2 linked regions of the Alligator mississippiensis genome follow. The protein of the gene in region 1 binds, or shares a complex with, the protein of each later gene. Links are inferred from orthologs where the notes say so. Each region holds a gene or a part of one and is shown on either strand. Other genes may lie near its edges.

Evidence for each region. Proteins that work in one complex are often made in the same cells at the same time.
Region 2: BDP1 (region 1) and BRF2 share a complex: the UniProt entries of both Homo sapiens proteins name them as parts of the TFIIIB complex. The link is inferred for Alligator mississippiensis from reciprocal best matches to the Homo sapiens genes BDP1 and BRF2.

What each region holds. Positions count from the first base shown.
Region 1 is NC_081826.1:251,357,678-251,365,812, reverse strand, and holds the start of BDP1 (transcription factor TFIIIB component B'' homolog), read right to left. Parts: upstream 3,302-8,135; 5' UTR 3,124-3,301; coding exon 2,927-3,123; intron 1-2,926. UniProt on the Homo sapiens protein: General activator of RNA polymerase III transcription. Requires for transcription from all three types of polymerase III promoters. Requires for transcription of genes with internal promoter elements and with promoter elements upstream of the initiation site.
Region 2 is NC_081830.1:18,638,785-18,646,538, reverse strand, and holds the start of BRF2 (transcription factor IIIB 50 kDa subunit), read right to left. Parts: upstream 3,364-7,754; 5' UTR 3,295-3,363; coding exon 3,141-3,294; intron 1,123-3,140; coding exon 1,063-1,122; intron 839-1,062; coding exon 517-838; intron 1-516. UniProt on the Homo sapiens protein: General activator of RNA polymerase III transcription. Factor exclusively required for RNA polymerase III transcription of genes with promoter elements upstream of the initiation sites.

The sequences.
Region 1 (8,135 bases):
AGTCAACTTATGGCCGTTATTCCTTGTTACTCCCGGTAGTGCTCAGGGGGAACAGGGACTCTCCCATAGCCTGCTGGTCCCCCTTGGCCAGTTTGTAGAAAGCCACCAGATCCCCTCTCAGCCTTCTCTTGTGGAGGCTGAACAGGTTCAGGTCCCGTAGCCTCTGCTTGTAGGGCCTGTCTTGCTGCCCCCTGATCATGCGAGTGGCCCTCCTCTGGACCCTCTCAATGCTAGCCACATCCCTCCTGAAGTGCGGCGCCCAGAACTGGACACAGTACTCCAACTGCAGCCTGACCAGTGTCACATAGAGGGGGAGGATCACTTCCTTGGACCTGCCTGTGATGCATCTGTGGATGCATGAAAAGGTGCGGTTAGCCTTCCTGAGGGTCTCCCCACATTGGCGGCCCATGTTCATTTTGGAATCGATAATGACTCCAAGATCCTTTTCTGCCTCTGTGCTGATGAGAAGGGAGTTCCCCAGCCTGTAGGTCTGCTGCTGGTTCTTCCTCCCCAGGTGCAATATCTTGCACTTGTCAGTATTGAAACCCATCCTGTTCTCATCCGCCCACCCCTGTAACCTGTCTAGATCGAGTTGCAGCCTGTCCCTCTCCTCCAGCATGCCCACTTCTCCCCACATCTTAGTGTCATCCACAAATTTGAACAAGGTGCTTTCCACCCCCTTGTCCAAGTCGCTGATGAAGATATTGAACAGTGCAGGCCCCACCACTCTTCTTACCTGAATTTCCCACTCCCGGTGCAGGGAGGCACAAACAGTCCTAGGCCATAAGCCCCTGCTACGCAGGGACTTCCGGCAGGGTAGCAGGGCTGGATGGGCCCTGCTGTTGCAGGAGCCTGCCGTGGCTTCCCCCGGGTCCTGCTGCTCCTGTCTCCTGTCATTTTGATTCAAAAAGGGATTGGACAAATTCTTGGAGAAAAGGGGCATCGGTAGCTATTCAACATGGGAGTTAGGGATGCAGCCTCTGAATCAGAACTTCCTAGATCTTAAATGCTGGAAGCTCCAAGCAATAAAGAAACAGGGGAAAAACTAGGTGTACACTGATAGAGATTTTTGGGGGCGATACCAATGGCTGATTTTTAATGAGCCATATCAGCTGATACCAATCCAATTGCCAATATGCAGTCCGGCAGCTTGGAGAGCAGCATCTGGCTGGCGAGTCTGTTGTGGGGGAAGGGGCAAGGTGGGAGGAAAGAGGTAGCGGGGGCAGACCAAGGCCCCTGCGGTGAGGAAGGGAATGGGACTGGCTCTGGACCTGGGGTAGGGACAGGCATTGAACAGCCAGGGCAGGGTGTGGTGTAGGATGGATCCATGGCTCATCCAGGGGGTGCAGGCACCCCAGGAGGGTATGGGGTACATGTGCCCCCCAGATTTGCCTGCAGGGCAAGGGCAGGCTGCCGCTGTGGGCTGCAGCCAGGGGCAGTGCCAGGTCCTTCCTGGAGGTGCTGGGCCAGGCTGCACTCAGGTCAGGTGGCGGTAGCACTGGGAGTGGGGCTACAGAGAATTTTGGGGTGGCTGTAACCCCCGCCATAGCCTCCCCTCCCAGCGCCGCTGATGCCTACCCCAAGCACAGCCCCAGCCCAACCCCCCTGCCAGGAAGAGCCTGGCACTGCCCTCACCCCACACACGGATCCAGGAGGTGCACGGCCCCCATGCCCTTCTGGGTGCATACAATGGCAGGAGCTGCTTGGCAGGAGCCGCTCGTCCCCTGTCCCGTCCCCCCAACATCCCCTGGACAAGCCGCTCATGACTCCATCCCATGCCCCGCCCTGCTCCAGCTGTGCAGTGCCTGCCCTAGCACCAGCCCCACTCCCTCCCTCACCACAGAAGCCTTGGTCTACCTCCCCTATGCCCCTTCCCCCCGCAACAGACTTACCAGTCAGACACTGCTCTCCACGCTACCGGGCTGCACTCCTAGCCACCTGCATGCTGCGCTGTAGATGCACGCGCGCATACACAGCATTTACTGGCAAAATTATCAGCCACAACAGCCAAAAAAAGCCAACTGCTGATGATGTCAATTTTCCTTTTATCGGTGCCAATATGATATGGGACTGATGTATCAGTGCACCTCTAGAAAAAACCCTTAGTCATACCCAGTTCACTCTCCTTTTCAGTATCTGCTCTCTGCCACTGTGAGACACAAGAGACTGGGCAAAAGAGACCTAAGGGCTAACCCAGCACATGGCAATTCTTACGGTTTTATATTCCTATTCTGCTTCACAAATATCCAAACAGATTTGGCAAAAAGGCTAGGGATTTTCTCCCAAAGGTACCCTCCCCCATACATTTCCATGTCAAACAATAAAGCCATGCGCCATCACCAGTCTACTTCAGCAGCAGCCAGCCTCTTTGGCAAACATGCCACAAGTTAAATTCAAAATAGGAGATGATGCCACTCCAATAACCAGCCACCACTGTCACCACTGGCATGTGTTAGCCCTCCATTAGGCAGCACCTTTCCTCGCAGTTGCCACAGACCCAAACCTCTAAGCTAACACTGCCTGCCACCCAGCCTGTCACTGCTGGCACCTCCTTCAATTTGGTGCCCAGGGCTCACGTGCCAAACATACCAGCTGCCCCCGCCACTAGCCCACGCCGAGGTGGCGTGTACCTCAGAAGCAGTACAAGGGCTGGCAAGGATGGGGCAAGAAAGCAACTCCCTGTCTCCTTGGCAGGGCTGCCTTGCACCTGTTTTACCAGCGGCTTGGGCAGCACGGCCAAGAGCCCCAGTGACGCCCCAGGTACCGAGGCACCATGAATAAAAATAAACGTGGTTTTCCAGGGGGGGTTTCATCCAGGAGCCCCCAGACGCCAGGTCGAGGGCGGCTGCTCCCCGGACGACACCTTGAGCCCTGCCCGCAGGCAGGTACGTGCGACCGCCGCCCCGCCGCGCCCCGCCGGACTCACCCGCTCGCCGCCTGCGGCTCATCCTGGCCGGGCGGCCCCGGGGCTGCAGCGGGGCCAGGGCCGGGCTGCGACTCCTCCCCGCCCGGCGCGCAGGCGGGGCCCGGACTTCCAGGGGCAGCCGCGGGGCTCGGGCCGCCGCCGCCTCTGCCACCGGGTCTCACGTTGGGCCTCACGCTGAGCCGCGCGCGGCGGAACATGGCGCCAGCGGAGCGGGCGGGGAGCCGGGCGGCCCTGGCCCCGGCCCCGGCCCCGGCCCCGACGGTCACAGGCCCACGGGCAGCAACGCGCCTGCTCCCAGCGACCCCCGCGGCGGCCGGCGGGGCCGCCTCATGTCAAACGCCGAACACCGCGCCCAGTGCCCCGCCCTCCCTGCGAGGGGCCTGGCGCATCACGCATCATCAATGCGCGACTGCAACCGCCTGCCGGGGGATGACGTAAAAGGGAGGGGCGTTCTAGCGCCAGACCCCGTAGGGATTTGCTGCAGCTGGCGGTGAACTCTTGCGAGACTTTGTTCTTGTTCGTGGGCGAGACCTGTGGGCTACGTGTGGCTTGTGGGAGCGCTGAGGACAAGGCTCGGATCCGGCCCTGGCACGGGCAGGGCAGGGCGCTTCCTCCCGAAGGCCCGGTTTAGTGCAGTGACAATCCCCCTTGCTTGTGCAAAACACCCGGCAATGTCCCCCAGGTCGCCCTTAACCCCTGTTACCCCGTTCTGTGGCCTTTCACGAAGGAGGCCGGGCAAGGTCAGATTAATGTAGCTAATCATCAGGGATCCTGGTTTTCACTGTTCAACAGTCAGAAACTCTCTGATTTAAAACCCCTCTCGGAAATTCTCTGAATAAAAAACCCCAAATCCACGTTTATCCACAATTAAAATGAAACGCCACTATGTATACAGGTAACTGTACATGTACATTGAACACAATGTTTAATTGCTATGTTTACAATTTTAAAGCAAGTTGGAAGCCTACCAGTGCCTCAATCATTATAATAAAATAAATTCTAAATACCTATACATTTTAGCATTTGAGCTTGGGTTTTTATCATGGACAAAAATCAGCTCCCCCAGCCCCCTCTGCTCACCAGGACAAAGGTCCAGCTGCAGCTGTCCACCCATCTCCACTGCTTTGTAGCACTAAGCAGCCCTGATATGCTGGTGCCATGCCCGTTCCATTGCCCCATATGCCCAAGCCACAGCCCCACCAGTCTTGCTGGTGCCCCTCACTCTCAACTGACAGCCCCCTGGCCCTGCTGGTACCTCTCACTTCTGACCCACAACCCCCAGCCCTGCCAGTGCCTCTCCTGACTCACTGCCTTCCCACCCCCAGTGTGAGGAGGGAAGTGCGTGTATGGGGAAGGTGTGGGGCAGCCCACAGGCAACATGGCACACAGAGGTGTGGAGGCCAAGGCAACACAGCAGGATGGCACCCAAGATTTCTGCACCCACAGTGGGGCATAGGGATGCAGCAGGGCCAGACCAGCTCTGGCTAGAAGCTGCCCCAGTGGCCCAGTGGATGGGACCCAATGCAGGAGGAAGCCATGCCATGGTGATGTGTGTGTGCCAGCAGCAGCAGCATGGAGTTGTGCTCCCCGCTGCTGCCAGGCAAACCAGGGGCTGCTTGGCAGCCATGACAGCACTCCCTCCCACACTGGGCCACGGAGGTGGCTCCTGCCTGGAGCTGGTCGAGCCCCGTTGCAGTCCTGTGCCCCGCTGTGGCTACAGAAATCTCGCAGGCACATGCCCTCCTGCCTGTGCCTCCACCCCTCTCCTTGACTTACCTAGAGGGAGTTGCGGGAGCTGCTATCTACCACTGCCTGGCTGCCATGTGCATGTGTGCACACATGCACTGGAGCCCCCTGGGCCTGATCACTCTCCCACCCCATCCAAAGGGAACCTGCGTTTTCTTGCAATTTTCTCCTTTAAAGAGAAATCCACATTTTTCTGCAGCAAACAGAAAACCTGGGTCCCTGCTGGAGCCAAACTGAAGCCCCACCAGAGACAGCTAATCTCAAGGGCACAGTTAAGCTCAGAAAACATGAACAAGTATGTTTCAACATCTACACTCTACAGCTACAGTTAGCAACTAGTGTTTTGTTTTGGCTTCTCAAGATGGGTGTTACCTATTTTGTGGCTAAAGCTTGAGAAAGTGTTGCCAGCCTCCAACTCAGTTCAAAGCCTCAGAGATATTAGAGACCTGTGTTATTTACCAGGTAAGGTCAGGTTTGGATAAACCATTACAACTCAGACCTTGGAGGCATATTGTAAACATTAGAAATTATGCATGTTTTTGTAAAATCTTCACAGGTGTTTTGGCCCTGTATTTCTTGCCAAAATATTCCCTTTCTCATATTTCCCCACCCTACAGTGGTGTAACTTGCTTGTATATTGTGGGATGCTCTTTGAGGATGCTTTAGGAGTAAGATGGCTATTTATGCATAAATGGAATAAGTATATAAAGAATTATTTTTATCTGAACAGTTCTCTTTCTTTCATTAAGAACCTTCAACAATTCAAGGTCCGGATATTGTTGTTCCAATGTTGCAAGATGGACTCCTAGTTTAATGTATTGGGTTGCAAAATATATATTTTTATGATTAAATATAGCTTTTTAAAATGTTGATACACTGAATTCCTTGAGCGATAAAAAAGTATTTGCCTCTGAAAACCTAAATTCTGGGCAATGAGATTCCACTTTGCTTCAAAGTCTGGGTCAGCCAGTGTTACAGCGCCACTTTTCTATATTCCAAGAATAGGAAACGTTGGATATCTATTTTGGAGTTGCCATCTCTCACCGTTTGACTTTAAGTCTTGGGATACAGGCATGAACCCAGCACGGTACAAGTGCATCCTCCCCCCCAACCCCTTTGATTCCTGCTCCACCTGAAGTTTAATACTAATTCCCTGGCAGTGGCAGCAATAGCTCTAGGCCAGTAGTTCTCAACCTTTTTGTATCAGGACCCATTTGTAAACATTTTTTTTTTTTTATTAAGAAAATATAAAATATATATTTCTCTCTCCACACCGCCTCCTTTTGTCAATATCTCACAATAAACAATATCATACATGAATCAATAATACATGACACGATCGTGGGAACTTCCCATCTTCTTTCTCCACCACAATTTCTTCACAATTGGATCACCAGATCCTCTTTATACATAATCATCAATTCAATCCAAGACAATACATTTTGCTCTTTTCTCATACAAGTTCTTGGGACACTTTCAACATTTATAATACATCCTCATATTTTACACAATCTTTCCCTGTGGTCTCGTATTTTCCTTCTTTTTATTTGCCTTTAACACATTTTCCACACCTCTTTATTTATAGCATACACAATTCACTTTTGTTTCAGTAGTACTGTTTTCCCCACTTTCCGTTTTCACCTTTCCATTTCCCTGATTCCCGACGCATTTCCTTTCCCTACTTCCCAACGCTTCTTCTTTTCCTCCTCTCTCTCCCTTCTTCTTTTCTTTCCCTACCTTTACCCTATCCTGGCCGGCTGGAATAATTCCTGCCACCGAACGCCTTGCCATGCCCTACTCCCTTCGCCCTTTTCTCCCTTTCCCTTTATGTAGTCCTTAATCTCATAATACCCCAGCTGTAAGCATTCCCTTTGTGTAAAGCATACCCCCTTCCCTACCAACAAGCACCTCACTTTCCATAATGCCACCCTCATCCCCATCAAAATCACCCACGCTTCCCATTGCTTTTCTCCTTGTTTCACCAGTCCGTACACTGCGCTCTCATAGGACACCCCCTGTGCCCACCCTATCGCCCTTAGAAACTTCCCTACTCTTCCCCACACCCTTCTTGCAAACGCGCACTCCCAAAAAACGTGATGCACCGTTTCTTCCTTTGTACAGAACTCCTTCGGGCATTCTGCCGATCTCACCAGCCTCCATCGGTATAATATTTCTCTGACTGATAACACCCACCTAACTATACACCACGCAATTTCCCTGTGAAACCCTTTCCACCTTGCGTCTTCTATTCCCCTCCACACCTCTCTCACCTGTTCCCATGTCAAATTCCCCACGTCCGTTAACCCATCTTCCTCCCTAATTGCGTTGAAAATTACCCTCGCCTTTTGTAATCCTTCCATCCCGTTTCACCAAACCCTTTGCCTTGACGAATGCCACCAGCCTATCCACGTGCTGTGATGGTTTCCCTGCCCACGTGCCTGTCCACCTTTCTCCGAATACCCCCCATACCCTCAAAATTCTGCCTCCCCAGTACTTTACCCATTTCCCCACTATTCCTTCCCCTCTCCGTGCCTCCCTGACTAATGCCGCTACCCCGTGCCCATATATGAATGTTTCCACCTCTGGAAAACCCCATCCCTCTAGCTCCCCCGCTTTATAAAGCTCCCTACCTGCTACCCTCTCTCCCTTACTTCCCCAGAAAAACACACACAATTCCCTTTGTATCCTCCTCGCTTGCCTCCACGATGGAGGGTATACCCACCCTACGAACAGCAGGATCGGTGAGATCACCGACTTGATTAGCTTTACCTTCCCCATCTTTGACAAACCTCTCCATCCCCGTATTCCCAGCACCTTTCTAACCCGTCCCCGCACTTCTCCCCATGCTGTTTCCCCTTTCCCATCTTTCTCAAAACATCCCTAATATTTTTTGTCCTCTCTCTACCACCTGCAACCCATATTCCTCCAGACCCTCCCAGTTCCCTATTCCCCATATCTTACTCTTCCCTCTATTTAATCTTGCTCCGGCTGCCCTTCCGTACTCTTCCATATGCTCCAGCACCCTCCTCACTGACCTTCTGTCCCTCACCAAAAATGCCACGTCATCCATATATAGCACCGCTTTCACTTCTCCTCCCCTGGTATCTTTATCCCCTGAATTTGGTTGTCCCATTTTATCTTCCTTCCTTCCTATGCCACACACAAAAAGCCCTTTTGTAAACATTGATGGCCAGTCCCAACCCAGCACCCTTCACACTCAGCCTACTGCCCCCCACCCCAAGGCCGCAGCCCCACTGTAGGGGGTGGGTGTGTGGGACAGGGTGAAGTATGAGTGGGGCCTGGGGGACCCCAAGCACCCCCTTGCAGACTGGAACTCTGCAAGGGAAAAGCCAGTTGCCCACATGTTTCTCCTTTAAGGGAGAATCTATTTTTAAAGTTTGTTTGCAACCTTTTCATTTATTCTTAGACCCACTCTCAGGTCATGACCCACAGGTTGAGAAAT
Region 2 (7,754 bases), on another chromosome or scaffold:
CACCCAACTGAGAAGGCCAGTGTGTGGGCCACTGCCTGGACCTATCTGACAACTATCTACCTAAATGATAACTATCAATGTCTCTTCTCTCATCCTCTTGCCAGAAGGGTTCTTAGTCTGAGGCAAGTGGGGGGCAGGGGACAGTTTTTAGCTGTAATTCAGCCCTTGTGAACCTAAGTACTTGGGGGATAGATTCCCATGACAGCATCTGGGCACCAGCTGTGACACAGGGCCCAGGGTCTAGTCTCAGAGGAACTGGCCCAGCCTTCTCTTTGACACAAAGCAAATAAGCAAAGTGGAGCTCTGCAGAGAGAGCCCTCTGCTGTGCCACGGTGAGTGTCAGGGAATGCATCCCATAGGAACCAGGGCTCCCTTGGTACTCTCAGCCCAGGTGGCATTGCCCATTGCATGCACAGGTCCTGCCTTGTACCCAAAAGGCGACTCGAGGGGTGTCCAGCCATGTGGGATTCCCAAGCCCCATGGATCCTGCAGGAAGGAGGGTGTCAGTTCCATTACCCATTGAGATGCGTTTTCACCAGATCCATCAGGCTCAGGGCAGGCACATCCAGCTCCAGCTCCTTCAAGACATGCAGGTACACACTGGTAAACAGTTCCTTGTCCGCATACAGCAGGGAGCAAATCGTTCCCATGGTCACAGGCCAGTTGTGCTGCCGGCAGGTCACACAGACGCAGCAACCCACCAGAACCTCCTTCTTCTCCAAGCTGACTAAGTGGAAAGAGGGGTGCTTGATTGCACGCTGGAAATAAGACACAGCTGTCTCTTCAAACACAGGTGGGAGCTGGAGGACTTTGCACAGATCCTGGACACGCTTGATCCCTGCAAAAGTGCGCACCCTGTCAGCATCTGCATGAAAAGGGTCTCTCTAGCTCCTTCAGCCCAGGCCAGATGTCAGCTAAAGGCCACCTGGCACTGCCAGGCCTAGAACCAGGGGAGCTTCTCAGCTGAGCGAGAAACAGAAGTGCAATTCACATGGCAGCTTCCCCCTGGCAGGAACATGACACCAAGTCCCACATGTCTCAAAACCAGGAACCAGTTCTCACCTCGCTGTTCACAGCGGCTCAGCTGCTCCTTCTGGCCCGTGCTCCATGAGTATGTCACCTCTGCAAGACAAGCATCAGGCAAAGCAGTCACATCAGTGAGTAGAAGACAAGGTCCAAAGTTAGTGCCAGACAAATAGGGATGGAAAGCGAAGCACTGGGGGGGCTATTCTCTTCACATCTCCGAAGGCGGCACCAGCAGCACCTATTCCCTTCACCAGCTCCCTGACAATACAACTCAGCCCTGAACTGATAGGATAGGGTGGAAAAGGAGTTGAGTCAACCTGACTCCTTCTCTTCTGCACCTCGCCAAAGAGATCCCAGCAAACAGTGCAATCCCAGACCTATTTATATGCTGGGAGTGATATAGTACAGTAAAGCAGATCACCAACTTATGCTGAATTTCACTGCTGCCAAATAGGCCTTCACATTTGAGACCCCATACTACAAATGCATTTGGGGTTGTATTTCCTTGGCCAGGGGGACAGCTGACAGCAGGAAAGCTACAGCTCTGATTCCATTCAGCCTGCACCCATCTATACAGTGGTAGCCTGCTCACAGTCCGACGTGTTATAGGCGCTGAATTAAAACTAGCAAACATGGGTTAGTCTAGAGGGAAAAAAGGAGAGCCCCTGAGACTTGACCACAGATACTTTAAAAGAACATGTCCAAACTGACTGAGCTTTCTAAAAAAAACCCAACAAAAAAAACATATATCAAAGTTGTGTGTACGGTAAAGCCATATGTAAGGACCCACAGGATGTTTTTCCCTATAGATTTTTACTAAAACCAGTTTGAGAAGCCAGTCACAACATGGGCATAGAGTCCTAGATGCTCGGGTCGGAAAGGACCTCAACAGATCACCGAGTCTGACCCCGTGCCCTGGGCAGGAAAGAGTGCTGGGGTCAGATGCCCCCAGCCAGATGCCTATCCAGCCTTGTCTTGAAGACCCCCAGGGCAGAGGAGAGCACCACCCCCCTTGGAAGCCCATTCCAGATTTTGGCCACCCTTACCATGAAGAAGTTTTTCCTGATGTCTAGCCTAAATCTGCTCTCTGTCAGTTTGTGACCATTGTTCCTTTTTACTGGGGAACAGAGCATCTCCGATCCCTTGCTGCGCCCCCCTAATGAATGTGTAGGTGGCCACAAGATCACCTCTCCGCCTTCTCTTGCGGAGGCTGAAGAGGTCCAGGTCCCTCAGTCTCTCCTCATAGGGCTCGGCCTGTAAGCCCCCTAGCCATATGAGCGGCCCCTCTCTAGACCCTCTCGAGTCTATCAACATCCTTCCTGAAGCACGGTGCCCAAAACTGGATGCAGTACTCCAACAGTGGTCTGACCAATGCCGCATAGATGGGAAGTATCGCCTCCTTGGATCTATCTGTCATGCATCTGCTGATGCACGATAAAGTGCGGTTAGCCTTGCTGATGATTTCGACATACTGACGACTCGTGTTCCTTTTGGACTCCACGATGACTCCGAGATCCCTGTCCGCTCTGTGCTGCTGAGAGGGTCACTGCCCAGCCCGTACAACACAACATCACAGCACCACGAACCAGGCCGTGACACCGACCAGTCCTGCCATTTTTTGAACTACAAACAAAACAGTTAGCTTTCCAGCAGTAGATATTTTTGGTTAAAGATTCCTCCAAGGTTTGGCTCAGAACAGAAGTTGGGAAGTTTCCATTTAGGTAAAACACAACAGTTTTCAGCTGATTTTTCTTGCACTGCTCCAGCTGAAGCTCTCGCTGTTACCTGCTCAAAAAAACCACCAACTCCCCACGGGCCACAGCCACGCGGGTATTTGCAAGTTGGCATTTGCTTGCTGATGGGCATACGGCTGCGGCGGCATCGCTGCGTGTTGGACAAAGCCCAGAGAAACAGCAGGCCCATGCAGCAGCGCGAGCCCGCGGGAAGTTGTGGGTGACAGGCAACTGTTTCTCACAAGACACCCGGAGAAGATTCCCTTCTTCCCCCTTCCTGCACAAGTCAGTCTTTCCCTCCCTGAGTGGCACGATGACGCCCTTCCCCTGCCTGATTTGCTGCTCCGCTTTCTGCTCCCCGCGCGCGCGCGCCCGCCCTACCTTGCAGCTGCTGCTCCTCAGCGAAGGTGGTGGTGAGCAGCCCCTCGGCGAGGACGCGGCCGCAGGCGGTGCACACCAGCTGGCTCTGCGCGTACAGCGCGTCCTGCACCAGGTCAGTGGAGCCGCAGCCCGGGCACGTCTGCCGGCCGGACATGCCGCCGCCGCCGCCGCCGCCGGCCGAGCGGAGCGGAGCGCACCGGATGCGGCGCGGGGGACCCCGCGCAGCGCTGCACCCGCCCGCCCACTTCCGGCCCCTCCCGGAAGTGGCTCCGGCCAGCAGCCGCGACCCCAGTTCCCGCGCGTTCCGCCCTCGCCTCTGGCCCCGGCCCCAAGCGCGTCCTGCTTGGTCTGCCTGGATCCCCCCCATCTTGGGAGATCCTGTGCGTACGCTGCTCCAGGGCAGTGCCAGGATCATAATACCCCAGCCAGATATCTATCCAGCCTCCTCTTGAAGATATAGGGTATGAGACACTATTAGGTAGCTGGCAGGTAAAATGCAGAAGAGATCAATGGAAGAGCATGCCCGTTCAAGAGAGCTGCTATCACTTGCACAGCACTGAGCGGGGGATATCGCCTAGGTCAGGGGTGCGGCCACCAGCCCATCCTAGCCCCTACAACAATTTAGAAAATTAATATTTATCTGCCCCCAGCTGCCTGTCATGCGGCCCTCAGTGGCTGGCCAAAACTCACTAAGCGGCCCTCCGTCCAAAATAATTGCCCACCCCTGACTTAGATAACAGTGAACCACAAAGTCAACATCTGTGTTAAGTCTGGCTCTCAAGTCTAGCGAGCTAATTATTATTCCCCCCACCCCAAAACCCAACTTCTGAAAGCAATGTATAAACTTCCCTTGAGCATCAGGACTTGAAGTTCAGAAAGGAAGTGGTTTTCTATTTTTAAAAAATGCACTAGTAGTGCAGTCCCTTCGTTTCTGACCGTTCATTCTTGGAAGTAGGTTGTGTCTAGTTTCACTCAGTTTCCAGAAGGGTCCCGCTGGTGTACCGGGTTAGTTTATACCACAGCCAGCTTGATCCATGTTTTGTTGGCAGTGCGAGGGGCAGTGGGTGGTGGGGTAGGACAGGGTGCTGCTATGTGGGGCAGTTGAGATTAGTTGCTTAGCTTTGCATTTTTCCTCAAGAGAGCATAGGGTCCCAGTACGTGCCTCCTAATCAGCAGGAATTTCATGGGTGAGGATGAGCTGGGTGTGATAAGGAACAGTCTGAAAGCTAGGAGGGAGGGTTGGGCTAGGCTTGGTTCTCTGATTGTCTAGTTATTTTTTTTAATATAGGCTGTACTTGCTTATTGATCATCATTTTAAATTCAGGATGATAGTTGAAAACCCAGTGTGTGTAGCCCATAGGGGTTTTCTTTGCGTCTTGTAGCAAGTCCTGATGTTAGCAAAAACCTTGTACCAAACGGGAGCTTCAGGCCCCAGTCTAACTTCATAAGATTGCCCCTGCAATGCTAATCAACATTTGTTTTCTCCACAAAGCAGCAGTCCTGAGGGGGAGTCTTTTGGAAATGAGAAGGACAGCTGATCCAGCCAGCAAGGTTTTCTCTTTTTGCAACACATGCTATATCTATTGGAAAGTGCCAGCAACTTTATCCTTTTCATTTTACTTCTGTTATATGAATTGAAAGAACTACATCCAGGAAAGCAGCCACCTTCAATTTTCTTTCTTTAATCTATCTCCAAAGCCGACAGGAGGAAATAACCACCCGAGTTATTTCCTTACCTCTCTCTACAATAGCTCATTAGAGCCATACACCAGAGTGAAGCGCTTGACAATGCCAGTCAATTTCTATTGAGCGCTGGCTTTAAAGCTCCCTGGAGAGTCATTGCTGATAGCCCTGAAGGGCAGGCAACCACTCAGACTGGATGCTGAAGGATGTTAATGATTACCTTGACCTCTCGTTTTAAACTAAACGTGAATGGAGCAGGGGCTGCCATAGCAGCATGCAGTTATTCCCAGTGGAGCCAGATTTCAGTCCAGTGGTCCCAAGACTACGCGCATGTGCAGGGCATTTAAACTGCACTGACTTTTAAGTTGCTACAACGGCTGGATGCCTTTGTTGTAATGGAAGCTTTTGGACGATAGAGATCCAACACATACCTGACAGCTATAGATGCTCGTTTCTCATTCTGCTGCACTGGTGGATCAAGTTTCTTTGCCTTACAGGCTGTTGTTCACCATGTAGTCACTGTGGCCAGACAACTCCCACTGCTTTAAGCCAAGTCCAAATAAATCGGGCAAGTCCCAGAAAGCAGGTTGGTTTGTAGTTCATACTTGCTTAACATTTTAAAAAACTTGTCCAGGTACTGTTGTTCAGTCTGCAGAGACAGACAGCCCCATATGCATGCAAGCAAGCCATCATTAAGTGTAACATGCTACATTTGGAGGAGGGAGAACTGTCCCATTGGCTTTCATGGCAAACACTGCGCAGCCAGCCGAAAGTGGGAGGAGGCCCCAGCGGTGCAGAATCAGACGGCAAAGCTGGAATGGACACACAGGGGAGACGATATGAAATCAGCACTACAAAGTTCAATACTGAGAAGTGCTAAGTGCACTAACTGCTACATTTAGCAAGGATACATCAGTACAAAACAGACCACAACTACCTCAGGCAGCGGTAAGCAAAAAAGCCCTTGTAGGGCAGTGTAATAGACAACTCCATTTTTAATCAATATGACACAAAAGTCCCAGCCTGAGGCAAGAAACATGCAGAGCATGTTCCACTCAACTCAGGCACCACTTCAGCTGGAGCACTCTGCTATTTTGACTACCAAATGTAGAAAGTACAGGTGAACTCGCGAGTCCAGGAGAAACATGCCCACGGATGACCTGAGGAACAGTTGAAGGCAACTGAAACAGTCATCTATGCTGCCAGGTTGTTCCTACTGCTGTGACTCCCATCCCATGAGGGAAGGGCAAGCAGCAGATAGCTGTGTTTGCAACAAAATTATATGTTAAGAAATACTTTCTAACTGCAAGGATAGCAAAGGAGTGAAACAGGCTGTCCACTGAGCCTCTGCAGTCTTGTTTGTTGGACTGACATTTTGGAAATCAGGACCAAACATCCTTTTTTCAATTTTTATTTTTGAATATTACAAGGGCAGGAGGAGGGGGGCTGTAAATCTATAGGTCTCCTGCCTTGCTACAGGAGCTGGACTAGATTATCTCCTGATCAGGCACAGGTGGTATCCTACTATTAAATCCAGAGCCACAGATGGGGCTCCATGGAGCCTAACCAGCTCCTTTCCCTAGGACATTTGTCCTTCAGTGCAGGCCAGTGTCATACACCTGCTTTACACCAGCCAATGCCATCTATTCCCAGCATTTGGCATCTCAGCTGCCAGACTGGTTTATTGCAATCTATTTTCAGAGTAAAACCAGGTTGAAAAATCTTCTCTTCTTGACAGCTTCAGGAACCGCACCAAATGGAACTTACCTTCCAGCAATGCAGATTCCAATCCCAAGGGCCCCTGCAGCCCTAAGGTACTTTTAAGTGATTTGTCCATGAAGCAGCAGTGCCCCCCTCACCCCCAACCTTATTTTAATTTATTAGGGTCCAATGAAAAGCAGAAGAGTGCTCAGCCATGGAATTTAAAACGCTTTTATTTTAGTGTTCCATGAAAAATGTCAATTAAAGAAGACCTCTATAATAGGTACACACACTAACAGAGCAAAACCTTAAAAAACATAAAAAAAATACATTCAGATCCTTCAGTAATTGACCTTCAGTGAAGCTCATCTATCAAGGCTCTGTACACTCACTTTGCCTTGAAATGCACCCTGCTTAACATAGAAGTACCAATCCCCTTTTGCCTGGACACTTCAAAAAGCTATTGCCACTGACAGATTTGAGGTACGTGAGAATTGTGCAACAGCTACACAGCTAAGAAAGCACAAGTGTGGCTTTTAAAGGACAACCGTTCCCAGAGGACCCTGAAACCTCAATGAGATGTACTACAACATCAAAGGAAACCAAGCTTCAGTGCACACACTTCATAGCACACACTTAATTCCTCTCAAAATTCAGTGATCCCACCTTCAGCACAATATTCTCGCCTCAAATGGATTAACATAAACCAAGTACCGGACTGTGAAATAACTTCAGGGTTTAAAATCTTCCCAGACTGGGGGGGAGGAGGGGACAGGGGGCAGAACACAACTTCTGGACAACTATTAATGTCCTCAAATAATTCTCTCTAAAGCAGCAGATGCAGCATTATACAAGGGCTCCAGCTGCTCCAGGAGGAATAGTACCCACATACCAGATCTCTTAAACGAGACTAACAGTCACTTCTGTTAGTTTCACTTAAACCCATTCTGAACACCAACATCAAACATGTATTATTATACACAACACCCATTTCAAAGTTACAGGTGGTTCCTCGACTTGTCCAAGGCACTGAAAAAAATACCTGTTATAAAGCTCCAGCTTCAAGTCCCAAGGATACATCTATTTTTTATGAGGTATGGAAAAAATTCCCCTCTGCAGAGGGACTAAGGCACAAAGAGGCAATTTTAAAAAGAGTGTGCCATCTTCCTCATTATTTCAAGGCACAAAACCCAGCATTAGCCAGTTTTCAATGGAAGCTATCTAGTACCA